2 linked regions of the Styela clava genome follow. The protein of the gene in region 2 interacts with the protein of the main gene of each other region in a pairwise test. Links are inferred from orthologs where the notes say so. Each region holds a gene or a part of one and is shown on either strand. Other genes may lie near its edges.

The links.
Region 1: the proteins of prefoldin subunit 3-like (region 2) and prefoldin subunit 4-like interact in binary tests that used the Homo sapiens proteins (3 or more experiments, as listed by UniProt). The link is inferred for Styela clava from reciprocal best matches to the Homo sapiens genes VBP1 and PFDN4.

The regions. Positions count from the first base shown.
Region 1 is NC_135255.1:7,782,077-7,788,568, reverse strand, and holds prefoldin subunit 4-like, read left to right. Parts: upstream 1-4,723; 5' UTR 4,724-4,760; coding exon 4,761-5,159; 3' UTR 5,160-5,704; downstream 5,705-6,492. Other genes in the region: uncharacterized protein C9orf85 homolog, read left to right, coding at 5,742-6,098. UniProt on the Homo sapiens protein: Binds specifically to cytosolic chaperonin (c-CPN) and transfers target proteins to it. Binds to nascent polypeptide chain and promotes folding in an environment in which there are many competing pathways for nonnative proteins.
Region 2 is NC_135259.1:21,594,883-21,603,614, reverse strand, and holds the start of prefoldin subunit 3-like, read left to right. Parts: upstream 1-5,022; 5' UTR 5,023-5,155; coding exon 5,156-5,209; intron 5,210-7,533; coding exon 7,534-7,581; intron 7,582-8,063; coding exon 8,064-8,207; intron 8,208-8,732. UniProt on the Homo sapiens protein: Binds specifically to cytosolic chaperonin (c-CPN) and transfers target proteins to it. Binds to nascent polypeptide chain and promotes folding in an environment in which there are many competing pathways for nonnative proteins.

The DNA of each region.
Region 1 (6,492 bases), on a different chromosome or scaffold from region 2:
CCCTATTTATTTTATTATTATTTCACCACACCTGCTCGTGACCGCAACATTGTTCTACAGGGGTGGTGACTCCTCTACGACCCATGGGCCGGGGCCACGGCCCATCTAATTGGGCCACATGGGCCGTGGCCCATCAAGCTATGGGTCGCGGCCCCGTCAGGAAAAATTCAATTATCTTACCAAAATTTTCAATTTTTACAAAATTGTCAATATTCGAACCAAAAAATAAACTCCTGTAGTATGTGTACCAGGTTAGGGTTAGGGCAAAATTTTGTTCAGATTTTTTACATTATAGTTCTATTATGAGTTTGGGGACTGTCTGTGTTAGCCAAGTGAATAGTTTCTTTACACAACTTGATGGGCCGCGGCCCATAGCCTGATGGGCCGAGGCCCAATTTGATGGGCCGTGGCCCCGGCCCATGGGCCGAAGAGGAGTCACCACTTCCACTCACATTGTTATAGCATTATTGAAACATGCATGCTTACTCCCTGTTTCTGATGAAGTATGGTGCAGTTGTGAGAAACTATGCCAGCATGTAGACATGACAGCATAGTATAAAATGATAAATATTAAAGTGAATAGTAATGGCAGAATAGGCCAATAATGATAATAGGCACTGCAAGTTGAACATCTCTGATTTAGAATGCTTGTCTACTACCCACCCATGTTTTGAATTGTGATAAATGGGTAAGCTATATCAGCGATTCCCAACCTTTCTACCTTGGCGGACCGGTAAAATTAAATAAAATATACTCGCGGACCGGCAAAAATTGAAATTTGTGGAACACAAAATAATAACATATATTTGTGTGATGTCGGGCAATGCTTTTTATAAAAAAAAGATACATTTAAAAACATTTCACTTGAGGAAAAACTATCAAATAATGTGCCGGCCAAAAATTGAAATGGGTGAAACTCAAATAATTAACCCCAGTGATAATTTTGCTACTGTGTCGTTTCCAATACAGGATTGCAAACGAGGCACCAAAAAAAAATTTGCAACACGTAGCTATGCAGCGGATCACAGTCAATTTATTTGCTTCGTTTTAATTAAAGCTAGAAGTGACTGGTTGAAAATTCGGACAACTGTTTGAATGCTCGATTACTCAGCGATGGGTATTCGTTATCAAGAGAGCTCAAGAATGAATTGTGACAATGATTTTATAAATCTGGACTGTAAAGTAGAGTTTTCATTGGGTTCATCATATCAATCCCTCTGCAGTTGATTGACGCCCCAAACAAAATGAATTTATATTACAATGATAGTCGTTGCTAACTTGGCCCCAGGCTTAAAATCATGCTGTGCATCACGCGGAAAATATCTCAGCGGCCCCCGGTTTTATTACGTGTCTTGTGACCACCTGCAGGGCCGCAACAAGTTCATATCTCGCTGAGTGTCATGGTAAAACTCTGAAATATTATACTGTTCTTGACAGTTTTCTGGTTTAAATAAAGAAATATTCATAACCTTTTATTTTGGCGGTAATATTAATCAAGAAAAGCATGCAGAGCGGAAAAAGCACGCATGCTGATTTCCAGGTTCCTGAATCTTTGGAGATTTGACGAAGCGCTTTCGCGATGAATCGGAACCGAAAAGTGTGATCACTCGGCGCCAAGACGTCGGCGGGCCATCCCGCACGTATCAAACATGAATATGACGGCGGAAGAAAAATTGCGTAATAAACCAACGTAACTTCGTCGTTTCGGCTTCGGTAAAGCGAATGAGACGGTAGAAAAACAACAAATTGAAATTTCCGCCGACCGGTAAAAATGCTTCGCGTACCGGCACCGGTCCCCGGACCGGCGGTTGGGAACCACTGAGCTATATTAACAATCTGAATATTTTGGTTTTTCCAATAACGAAGTAGACTAGATTCTTACATATTAGGGATACCGGTATCGGTACCGTACTTCTCTGAGAGCAGGGGTGTGTAACCTGCGAGCCAAATGCTGCCCACAAGAAAAGCTGATGCGGCCCACAGAGAAGTGCGAATTTTGAATAGTGTGCGGCCTGTGAAATGAGTTTTAAGTTAGTTTGATCCGGTATGTATGAGTAATTAATTCCTTTGCGTTGCAAAGTCTGTATCTGAGCTTGTGTGAAGCAAATAACACATGCAGACATGTCACAAGATCAATAACCAAAACTTTGGTGTCTGCAACTACTAGGAAGCCCATGTTTCACCCAGTTATTTGTATCTGGCCCTCCTATATTAAAGGTTGAGCAGCGCACCCCTACTCTAGAGCCTTATTGGAAAAGAAGTTTAAAACACCTCAAAGAAAAAATGAGAACAATTATATTAACCTTGCCCTTATAGTGATAATTTACACAAAGATTCAATATTTGAGATAATATTAGTAACTCAATGCTGTGTTATCATATTTTTTTTGAATATGGTCACACATGACAGCATGCTGGCATGAGCAATCTGCAAAGTGAATATCTTTGAAATCGGTATCATTTTTGATTGCTTTCATGACTATGAAAACCTAATAATTGTCCTTCTCAGATACAACTTAGTTGTTACTTGTTAGTGTGTGTTTTGAGTAGGTTTTGTTTCAATCTCAGCTAGCACAATTTTATTAGATGAATGATTGACATTGAAAATGTACAAAATTAATAATCACCGTCCACTAGTCAAAGATGAAATGCTTAGTAGGTCTACTATTTTTATTATAGGAACATGAACTAGTTGTGATACGGTGTGATCCTGAAAAAATGAACACATGAGTGTTTTAATTACTTTAATGAGTTTTAAAAAAATATATTTAATTTTGTTTCAGCTCCGATTTTTGTTTGTGTATGATTTTACCATAAAAGTTTCAGAATATAGTGTCATCACTTTGTACTAAAGTTTCGTTCTCTCTATAATATGTTTGAAGTAATCTCCTTGGCGTTTGATTTGAGCCAGAAGAGCATCCATTGTGCAAAATTGTCAATCATTCACTTGGTTTCCTGTTGAAGCGCACTTTCTACTTTTTTCAGTAGCAATGATAATGTTTACTCGGGCACAGCACCTCCGAAGGAAGTTTTCAAGAGACCATTACTCTCAGTAAAGGGCGCGGTGAAGGTAACCATTTTCCAACATGGCCTAATTGCTCCCTGATATTAGAGCTAAAAATGAAAGAGATCAAATGGTGAATACAGAATGTTAGATGGTCGTGCTAATACATGGATGATGGGTAGATGGATTGATGGTAGTCAACCCCCCACACATCAAATCACTGGCTGGGAGAGCGATTTCAAAAAAATATGATCAGCAGTGATGTCGGGTGGGCATCTCATTCATTGGCCTTCAACCTACGGATTTTTACTTTAAGAGTATTTGAAAGACAATGTATATCAGAACAATTATTGGTTAACTTAAGATTGCAATCGAAGCCAAAATTAGGGAAGAGGAGTGTGTAAGAGTGATTGACAATGTTGGCAACATATGCAAATATGTTTTCAATGTCGAGGGGGTCATTCAGATCACATTCCAGAGAGAACATACCTTTTGTGCATAATGCCCTAGATTTCTGAAACTTTTGTGTACAATGATACGCAAATGGAAGTTCCGAGTGTAAACAAAATTAAATAGTTCACTTCATTTTTATAAAAGTAATTAAGAAATTTATGGGTTCTGTTTTTTGTGTCACTCTGTATTTTATTATACTCATAATATGGATCAAAGAATATGTAGCTGTTATTGTTTGAATGTCCCTAATGGAAATGTCACTCTATATCGAAATATTTTGGTATCAAACTGCGAAGTTGGTACATTTTATCAAAGCAAGTAAACATTAATTTTTATTACTGACCTCATAAATGCCTACTACGTAATATCAATATGTATCATCAATATGTATCGGTAGCCATTGGCCAATTTAGTCACTAGTCTGATATCATGTTTTCTATTATTATCTGTAAGTTTATTTATGAGCTCAAGTTAAATTATAGTCTAGAAGTCATAGTCTCCTTCAGACAAAACAAAATATAAGTACAAAGCAAATATCAATCTACGATGAATATGATGTCGTTTTAATTCAAATGCTGGAACATGTTTTCACACAGATGGCTTGAGATGTCTTATTACATCCATTTACGTTCTATTGTACCCAATTGTTTACCTTTAGATCGTTGTTTGTTCAGAACAGATTAGAATCCATTTGTTTGATGTGATGACAAAGCCTTATTAGATTTCCGAGTTTTGTTCGTACAAACATGAGTCACTATAAAATTTTATTTAAAATCACGAAATCTAAAATGGCCCGTATTTGTTCAATTACTTATGTAATGCTTTGTGAAATCTTACAGGATGCCATATTTTCGTGTTAGTGTTTGAATATTGACAATGTGGTCACTTTACCTGAAGTGAAATTAAATCAAGTGAATTTCAGCAAACATGTCGGCATATTTCGTAATCCATAATAAAATTTATATGTTGTTCCATGTTTCAATTTCATTGTCCATTGACACACTAACTTATATGATATGCAGCACATATAAGTTGAGTTGTGTGATCTTTAGATTTTTTAGGTAGAAAATTTAGTTACTGTATTTAGGATTCATGCATTCATGATAAAAATAGTTATTACGTAAAACGTGTTACAATTGCTTAATTAATATTAATAATACTTGATATTTATAACATCTATAGTTTTATACCTTATAATGTGTAATGCTTTTAACTTTTAAGGAAAACACTGATTTTATTTTTTAATCCCATAATTTTATCTCTTTAGATATTTATATGTGAGGTAGATAAATTTAATATCCGAAATGGCTAAAGATCGTGGTGAAGCTGATGCAAAAGTAACATATGAAGACCAGAAAAAAATCAATCTATTTGCTAGGAAAAATGCACGATTCGTTGATCTCAAAGAAGAAATTGAAGCCAAGAAAAAAGAGCTGCAGAATCTTGAAGATGCATCGGATGACTTGATGCTTTTAGATGAAGATGAAGCAGGGCCTGTGCCTTATTTAATTGGGGAAGTGTTTGTTAATCATTCAATGGATAAAACACAAGAACTTATCGATAATGCAAAAGAAAATATTCAAGCTGAAATCAAGAAACTTGAAACAACTAGTTCAGAAATCAAATCGGTTATGGATGATCTAAAAGTAAAACTTTATGCAAAATTTGGAGATCAAATTAATTTAGAGCCTGATGATGAATAAGTTAATAGTAAATTAACAGTAATAGAATATAACATGCATGCTAGTAGTATATTTATTGTAAGGACTTCTGTTGTGCAGGGAAAGCTTGACAATGAGAAATTATCAAATGATTGGAATAAGTAATCAATTCTATGAAGTTTTGTCGTATTTCTGGAATATTAGGTGTTTTAAATTAATTATTTTCGCCTATTTAATGTTGCTGCTGAATATTAACTACCGGTATGTTTTCAATGATGCACAGGACAGGACTTATAATTTATAGTACACTATTCCATTATTAAGTGTATAATTCATTACTTTGTTATCAGTGTCTCAGTGACTTTCTGAAGTATTTTTAAACAAATAATTCAGGCAGATTAAAATGTTCAATTTATCTGGTGTATCGACTGTAGTAATGCATGAAGACTTCTTCATCAATGTATATCTAAAGCATTATTTTCAAGTTTTTCTGGAATTTTGTTACTTGATCATGCTTGAATATTGGCCATTATGTTTCCATTATGGGAATTTCTCTACTCATGCATTACAATTGTACACATTTTTAGGTCTAAGTAGTTATAGTATTCAGTAGAACCTTCAGGAATGAGTTGTCAAAAGGGAAACACACAAAGATCAAGACCACAAAAACATCAGAACCATACTGCATGGAAATCAAACAATACTAATCAGGTTTTGAAGGGAAGTCGAAATTTTACAAATAATGTTTGCACTAAATGTAAAGAACTCATTGAATGGAAATTGAAATACAATAAATACAAACCTCTTTCAAAACCAAAGAAATGCACGAAATGTGAAGGAAAAAATATTAAAGTTGCTTACCATATATTATGTGAAAATTGCGCAATGTCATTGAAACTTTGCTCTAAGTGTGGGACAGTGAAAGAAAGTGATGTTTCTGAGGAAGGTGATGCTGGAACACAGGTTGCTGATTCTTTATAATAATAAGAGAATGCTTGAATTCTAGTTCCCTTGCTATATAGATGACACTCTTTATTGTGTGTTCATTTAATGCAGAATGTATCATCAAGTAGATATTTAGGGATCAAGAATGAAGACCCATGTAGTTGAGGGGTAATGTTGATCAGTATAACTGCTTGTATATCTTATCACATGATGATTTTAATGACAATCCGCTGAACTCCGATGAATCGCAATTCTAACATTATTAATGTTTTGGTTTTTTGGTGATATCCTCATATATAACCTATCATTTGATGTGACTTGTGTTTTCCCACTAGTTAGGCTTGGTCAGTAATGGTATAACTGATAATACAATAATTAGGTAAAAATGTGTATATTTTGTAAATGTTTATGTTCATGTTTCCATTCATGA
Region 2 (8,732 bases):
AGCCAAAACAAAGTAGTACGAGTATGCAATCTGTCACAGTAGACTACCTGTGCGGCAATCTTCACGACTAAGGCAAACGCGGAACCGACACAAGGTGCGCAATTTCAGATGACGTCATCGCACAAAATAAAACGAATTCCATAGAGCCCAAAAAAATTTTGAATCAAATAAAAGTAATAAATAGCCTTCAAGCCAAAAATAAAATCTTTAACCACTGAAAAGTTCAAAGCAATTGTCCAGTAATTACCGAGAAGAGCGGTAAGTTATGGAACGTGAATATCCAAAATAAGATCAAAGCTAACAAATATTTTTTTATTTAATCAACTTCCCGCCCCTAAAAAATTGTCTACGTTCACCTTGTGTGGCGGGCACCACCGTTTGAGAACTATTACTGTAACCCCATGCTTAAATATAACTAAATTTATCTATGCCGTGTTTAGAGATATATATTAGCTTTAAAAGCAAACACTTCTATCTGTATATAATAAAAATGCATTTTCTGTTTTCATGTTATGTTAGATTAACCAGCATATCTATATGTATTCATTTCATCAAATATTTTTTGAACTAGGAAAATTTTTCCCTCATATAGTTCACTTATGGAATATTTCTCCCCGACAAATCCAACCCTAACCTATATTAAAAGACTTTCAAATTAATTTGCGGTGCTCCCGAAGTATGTGAACCAAAATGGCGGACACCGGAATGTAGTATGTGTACCAGGTTAGAGCTAGGTCATAATTCCAGGTACAAATACTATGAGAGTCACTTGGCTAGTCCCCGAACTCGTAATAGAACTAAAATATAGAAAATTAGAATAAAAGTATGTTCTAACCCTAACTTGGTACACATACTACGTTCCGTTGTCCGCCATCTTGGTTCACATAATTCAGGAGTTGCTAATAATTTTCTGAATAATGTCACTGGTTTTAGAAATTTCTGGGAGAAATTGTCCGGACATCGATTTTTTTTTCATCTCGTTTACTTAGCAAAATTCGTCGATGAAAACCATTTTTTGTTTTAACTTTAATTTTATTATTATATATGCGAATAAAAATTATTCTATGATTTTGTGTATTTTATAGACCTTGTGACACAGTTTTCGTTTTAATATTTATGGTTAAATTTTTTCGAATTTTTAACATACCCATGTTCCTTACCGATATTTATGTATTAATATAAGAATCTTACTGACGTTTCATGGCTTGCTATCAATAATACTTTCACCACATACTCCATATCCTATGTTTATTATCAAATCATTTATTTTTTCTTCGCAAAATAGGCCTTTGATTTTCATTCAGCATTGATTATTCTGTACAGTATTTTTCATTCATAAAAGAGTTGTGTGACTCTGTAAGACACAATTTTAAGACTTGCTAAACTAAAATTATTTATCAATGACGAAGCACTTTTATGATCGAATCAATCCGACCCGAATATTGACCTACATTTTTATGAAAATTTTTCACGCTTTACTTTGTATACATTCGGTCAATTGTGATGCGCAAAAATTTATTATTGTTTTGAATTACTTATTTTTTCCGGTTTGGCCTACATCAGCGGTCAACCTGGCCCGTGGCAACCTTAAGGCGGCTATAATGCTAGGCGTAAAACCTGTTTTATATTTTCCTCAAAAAAAAAACCCCGGTTCATTAGTTTCATTACTTGGTAATGTTATTTCACAGAGTATTTTCACTTTGTTGAGCATGATTTGTTTGAAGTTAATAGGATTTGGAACCTACCAATTAAAATAATACTTTAAATGCCATTGGAATGATAAACAGGGGGACGGACCATGAGAGCTAAACCCCTCCAGAAGGAGAGCACGACCAATAAAAGGTTAGGGGCCACGGGCCCACACTCTTTGGATGAGGGGGTAGACATGGGGTTTGAACGTAAGATCTATAACCTACGACGCAAACACAGTTTTATTCTTCCGAGCCATCAGATTAGTCTAGTATTCAATGAATTAATTTCAATCACAAATTATCTAAACTGATCTTTTTTAAAGAAAAATCATGATATATGCCGCAAAAAATGGCAGGACATTCCTAACTTGAAGTCTAACCCAATTATAGCTATAATTATATTTTTTTTATTCTAGTTCGAAACCTCGATCGAGCGTGTCACCGACACCCTATCACTTATAGCCTATTTAGGCAAAGTATATTTCTGGTTGTAATGTCATTATGAGATTCTATTATCATATTTTTACTTTATTCTCTTAAGTTCTAAAAGTTTCTTGAATTAAATAGCAATTTTAAAATGGTCATGTTTAGCGTACGTGTTGTGTTATAAATTGACGAAAGAGGTTTATGACGGGTTGTCCCATGACTGGTATCCGGACGAAAGTTCGTAGCTCACCATGTGATTTAGTCGTCTTATCAGCTTTCCTCTTACGCGGGTTTGATATAAAAGTTGAATGCTTTTGAATTCACGATCAAGTACATTCTTCGTCTGCCGTAGGAGGTTGCGGCACAAATATATCATTGAACAAGAGCGCGATACTCCAAAACAAAGTAATTTTGGTGTCGTTTCTTTCATTTATGACTTCTGATCTATTACTTGAAGCCGATATCTATTTCACCCAGGTTGCGCTATGTGAGAAGATTTTCCGAACTTTGAGTGCCACGTGTCTAAGACTCATACGTTTTTACATTCAAATTTTTGTCACATTAACATAACTTTCATCAACTCCGTCAGTGACAGAGCGGGGCAAAGCTGAGTTTTGGTACAAGAAACTGGCGTTCGAATGATTCCGAGAACGTTCCGCTCAATAACAAGAGGCATTTAATTCCTAAGCAGATATATATTTTCGTTATTTAGCAGCAGGCCTTTCCTGTTTACTTTCTAATCCAGAGCGAAAGGGCAGTCTGCTGTTTAATGGAAATTTAAGACAAAACAAGACATACCTTAATCAAACAGCGAGTACATACAATAAATAAATAAAGCGATATGGATATACTAATTATACTAAAATCTAGAAGGCCATTGATAGCAATTGTAAAACATTTCAAATAATAGACGAACATGCTTGTAATTAGATCCATTGCATAATGTAAAAAGCTATACGTTGCAATATATTATTACGTTGTTATTATTTAAATTCCTGGGGACGCGTAATTCGTTTAAATTCTCTCATAGGCTCCACAGCTTGCGAATTGCACAGATTGAATGTAATTAGTTATGGGAATGACAAATTAACCTTATAATATTTGTTGTTATTGAATATTCCATTCGTCATTCGAAGATTCGTCCAGCCCTACTCTGGACATATCGACAATTCCTACAAGCTAGCTAGCTACTCGACAACGTTTCAAACGAAAATTTGAGAGTGAGTTGAATTAAGTTTGAATCGAAGAACGTCACTAACTTCCGTGTTAGCAAGCATCTTCTGACATCTACGTCAGCGAATCTCAGCATGCAAAGTAACACTGAGTACTGACTGACAGTACTGACACTTGGTAATTACAGATCGAATTACTTTTGCCGAAGTTACGTTTTGCACAAATCAACTTACATACGACTCCAACACCTGATTGCTACTGTCTAATCTCGCAGAGGCGAGTTTTCGGGCGATAATGGTAATTTATATGCCGGCCTTTGATATTAATCAATGAATAATTGCCCTGCGGGATTCGCTGGTCCGAATCCCACCGGGGTGATCATGATCACTCGTACCACACAAAAAACGCGTTTTGTACAAACAGCATGTAAAATGAAGTGAAAATGACGCTTCCGGGTAAAGGTTGATAATGTTCGAGTGCGCGAGGGTTTCTGGACTCTTTGTCTTTACAGTGTGGTTCGGTAACGGCTTCCAACCAAACCCATACATCTAGCTAGGATAGGAAAGGATTTTACATATTTGACCCCGGGGAGAGGGAAGCCCTACCACGGCCACTCGTCCGGTTACCAATCAATGTCGGGTATGGGATTAGTTTGCCAGTTATTTTCTGTTTTCAGACACAAGGACTTGTTGGCCGAGCCGAACTAACTAAAACGATAGACTGTAAAGACATCAGCTTTTACATCATACGGTCGGACGGCCTCCTTTAGGTTTTCGAATCCTCGCCCGGTGTTCCGTCATTCTAGGCACTGTGGCGGAGTTAAAAATGATTTATCTAATCAATACACGAGTAAATATAAACTCACCCATAGAAGTAAGATCCTGACCTGATGAAAAAATGAAACGTATGTTGCCGGTAGCCTACTTGAATAAACAGCTTGCGTCGCAGGCAGTGTTGTATCCGATTAAACATTCAAACCTCTAACGACATTGTAAATGAACTAGAGAATTGTTACCCGAATTTTTTCATCATTTCTAGCCTGAATAATGGCTATCACAAACATCCAGCTTACAGCGTGGCTTTCACAACAGATGCTTCTGGCTCCTTTGGTTATTTCCGAAATAATGGCCAATAAGCAATTGGTTGACGGTGATGTAACAATTGATTTTTCTCCAACCTTTTTTCACGCGGACAGAAGAAAAGATTGGCACAGTTCCGCGGTTTTCTAACCTTTTTGTTAGTTTTTAGTTGTGTTTGCTAAATTCAAGTATATATGTATTCAGACTGTCTCCCGAGGAGTTTTACATTAGTTGCAATATCAGTTTAGTCAGTCAAGATCAGCTATCTCTTAATATATTTCATTTTGAACAGGTCCATGGCGCAAAATGTAACAGCTCATAGGACAAACACGCAGGACGGAAATTTAAGAAAGTTGTCAAATCTCTAAATGAAGTTCGGAAAATGAGACATAAAGATACTACATAGACCATTTCATCTTGTGAAATAGAATGTAGGTGAAAACAACTCACTCGTCAACTGGACTTTAAACTAGGTACCTGAACTATAGCTTTAGGCAGATACAAAAATGTTTCTCTAATAAATCCTAAATGATTTTTTTAAGAAATAGTATTTTTTTATCATTCGAAACGATTTTTTATGGCATTCGCTGAAATGACTATTTTTGGTCGCGAAACGCATGACTGGGTCAACGATTCGTCGTTATAGCGACTTCACAAGTCCCGACCATTCCTTTTGGTAGTTTCGGTCAGAAATTGTCTTCATTTTGGGCTGTTTTGCTATTATTGGATTTGTCGAAAACTAGGAAACGAACTTGAACATTGGAAGTTTTCAAAGGCTAGTTAAATATGGCGACTGAAACTAAGAAAGCTCACCTAGGGATTCCGGAGGCAGAGTTTGTGGTAAGTCATAAGTTTGCCTGTCTCCAGGTCTCAGTGCAGCAGTGTCTGTCCGGCGCGGCGGTGTGGCTCAACGGGCTACGCGTTAGGAATACGCTCGCCACCGCACCTCTAATTACTCTGCGTGGGTTCGCAGGTTCGAATCCCATGCAGGGATGGTTATGTGCGAGAGGATTGCTGGACTCCTCGCCGTCGTTGGGTGGTTCACATAACCGCTGGTCGGTTACGGCTTCCTCCACCACCAAGTCCATGCTTCCGAAAACAAACAATACAGTAAAAACTAATCCCATACCCGACTTGGAATGGTAACCGGACGAGAGGCCGTGGTTCGCCATATGGATAAGCCGTCTTATCGGCTTTCCTCTCCCCCGGGATAAATATGTAAATCCTATCCTATCCTTGCCGTCGTTGGGTGGTTCACGTAACCGCTGGTCGGTTACGGCTTCCTCCACCACCAAGTCCATGCTTCCGAAAACAAACAATACAGTAAAACTAATCCCATACCCGACTTGGAATGGTAATCGGACGAGAGGCCGTGGTTCGCCATATAGATAAGCCGTCTTATCGGCTTTCCTCTCTCCCGGGATAAATATGTAAATCCTATCCTAACATAATAATCAGACGAGAATATCGGTCAGAGACCAAAGACATATCGATCGAAACTGCGGATTCGATTCATGACCTTATAGTGACATCGAGTGTCCCCTCACTAATTAATTAATAAGTCGCTAATTATACGACATAATTCATCCAAAATCTATAGACTTTTGGTCTGAGGTAGGATGAACGCACATGCAAAATTTGGAGCTGATTCAACCACACCTTCGTGAGATATCGCGTGCATCTAACAGACAGACAGACAAATACCTTAACATACCTTAACATCAACATACTTACCGATCTAAAGGTCGATAAGTCATAACGTGATCCATTAACGTTAAAAAAATATTGATCTGGTTCTGCGGTTCTCAATTCATACAGTTTACAGACTGCTGGACTAGTAACGTTTTGAAACAAATTTTGCCAACTTAGAGACTGGTAGACCTTCAAACTAAATTACAAAAGTTGTAAACACAAAACAAATTCTTAAATTGTCTCTTGTCCCATTACTGCATTACCAGTTCATTCTGCCCAGACTGGATTCCATGGCAGATGCACGCCCGAGGGCGCTAGCGCTCCACAAAAATGCACGCGAGCGAATTCAATTTTGCACGCCGAAAATTTGCAATTGCTCATCAATGTAAATCGGTTGAAATAGTTTTTAAATCAATAATCTAGTAATATAAAGATGCCAAAAAATTATAACTTTACAATTGTCGACTAATACTTGCTTGCAAGATTTGGCCTGATCGAAAAATGCGAAGCAAAAATCACCATATCGTGTTGAATGATAGGAATCCCGTGAGAAAAATCGCCTCCTCACCGACGCTGGCCAGTTATGGCTCTGATTCAGCGTATTTTTAATACAATAATTTTACACGGATGTACTGAACAGTACCGGTATCTAAAGTCGCTCAAACACTCTCAAAATTAGTGACAAAATATAGAAATGATGTTTTGGGGGTCAAAGGTCAAACGTCCATTTTTGCTATGATCCAACTTATTTTTACGCGGATGTATTGAGAGGTATCTTAGTTCGAAATCAGTTTAGCGGGCGCAGTTGTTTTGCACGCCGTGAGCTATAATTGCACGCCAGAAATTCTTATTTGCACGCGGGAATTTCTGATTGCACGCCCGATTTCTCGTTCGAAAAGGCCATGAAATCCAGACTGGCATTCTGCCAGTTGCCGGTATTAGTTTCAGATGCATGGGGTGGCTGGTGGAAGAAGCCATACCTGACCAGTCTGCCAGTAGTTATGTGAACTGCCCATATGATGGCAAGGAATCAAGACATCCTGTTTATCTTGCGTTAAGTTAGCTTATTGCCCAGGCTGAAAAATTGACTCAGCTCGACCGTGTGGGCATCATGCTAAGTGTTAAAAATACGCTCGTCACAGCAGCTCTAATTACCCTGTGGTAATAATTCTGTGCGAGAGAATTGCTGGACTCCTCACTCCGTGGCAGCATGGGGGGTTCACGTAATCGCTGGCTGGTTGGCTGGTCCTGCCTTCCTCCACCATCAAGTCCATCTGAAAACAAATAACTGACTAACTAACCCCATACCCGACATGGACTGGTAATCTCGCCAAAGGCTGTGGTTCGCCAAATGATTGAGCCGTCTTTTTAACTTTCTTCTCTTCTGGGACAAATATATTAATCCTATCACCTGACCATTTTCAGATTTTACATCCATGACCTTTATTTAAACATTGCTCTTTTGTTTTTAGGAAGATGTAGACAAATTCATGGCAGAAGAGCCTGATTCCTCAGCACAGGTAACAGTAAGCTATGGTTGTATGGTTGATTGAACTGACACCTATCTTACTACCACTCTCTCCGCATTTATGTTAGTGGATTCATTCACTGATTGCGCACGATAGCAGATACTGTCTGACTGTAGCAAGAACTCTATGAACTCGGCTCTCGTGTAGTTTCGTACCCATAGTACTTCTATTGGGTGTATTATAACCGTTTCTGATTTCCTTGTTTATTCCCGTAACAATTACAAATCAGCCATAAGTTAACAATGACATAACAATTGGAATTTATGTCGCCACTCAGACACTTCTTTCGCTCAGACAGATATTCAAACGTGGTTGTAAACATTGCCTTTTTTTGGTTTTGCGTGTAAGTAAAATGATAATCCCATTAATTTCCATCATGCGAACATAACAGAGATATGTCACTGTGCTATGACCTCCCCTCCACTTCAAAGGTATTACAGCACGCTCAATTATCCATTTCTTGATTATTTCAGGGGGCTTTGAAAAAACTTGAGGAACGTTACCAGAAATACAAGATGATGGAGATGTCGTTGAATCATAAGAAAGAGAAATTGAAGAATCAGATTCCTGAGATCAAAACAACTTTAGATATTGTGAAGCATTTGAATGATATTAAAGTGAGATCTTCATTTTGGACTTTCCTGTTATTTCCCCAAAATTAATTTTTATTGTAAGTTAGAATAAGATTTAAATATATTTATTTTTTGGGAGAGAAAAGACGATAAGAAGGCTAAATCATATGGCGACCTATGATCTCTCGTCCGGGTACCATTTCATGACAGGTATGGGTTTAGTTAGGTAGTTATTTGTTTTCGGAGGCATGGACTTGATGATGAAGGAAGCTGTAACCGACCAGCGGGCACGTTGATCACCCTTAGAAGTATCGTCACATTGGATTCTTACCTGCGAACCCATGTAGGGTAATCAGCAATTTTAGCATGATGTGGCCCCCCGCTGAGTTGGGGTGATGGCCAGTGTTTCCCAATGAGTGGGTCGCGAAGGACAAACACTGAAATACAGAAAACTACTGGAAGGCTTTTTAATGCATCCTTGCCTAATCCGTTTTGAAGTTATTTGTTTTCGGATGTTGGACTTGATGAATAAGCAAGCCGAAAATAACAAGCGCAATACCAAGTAATACC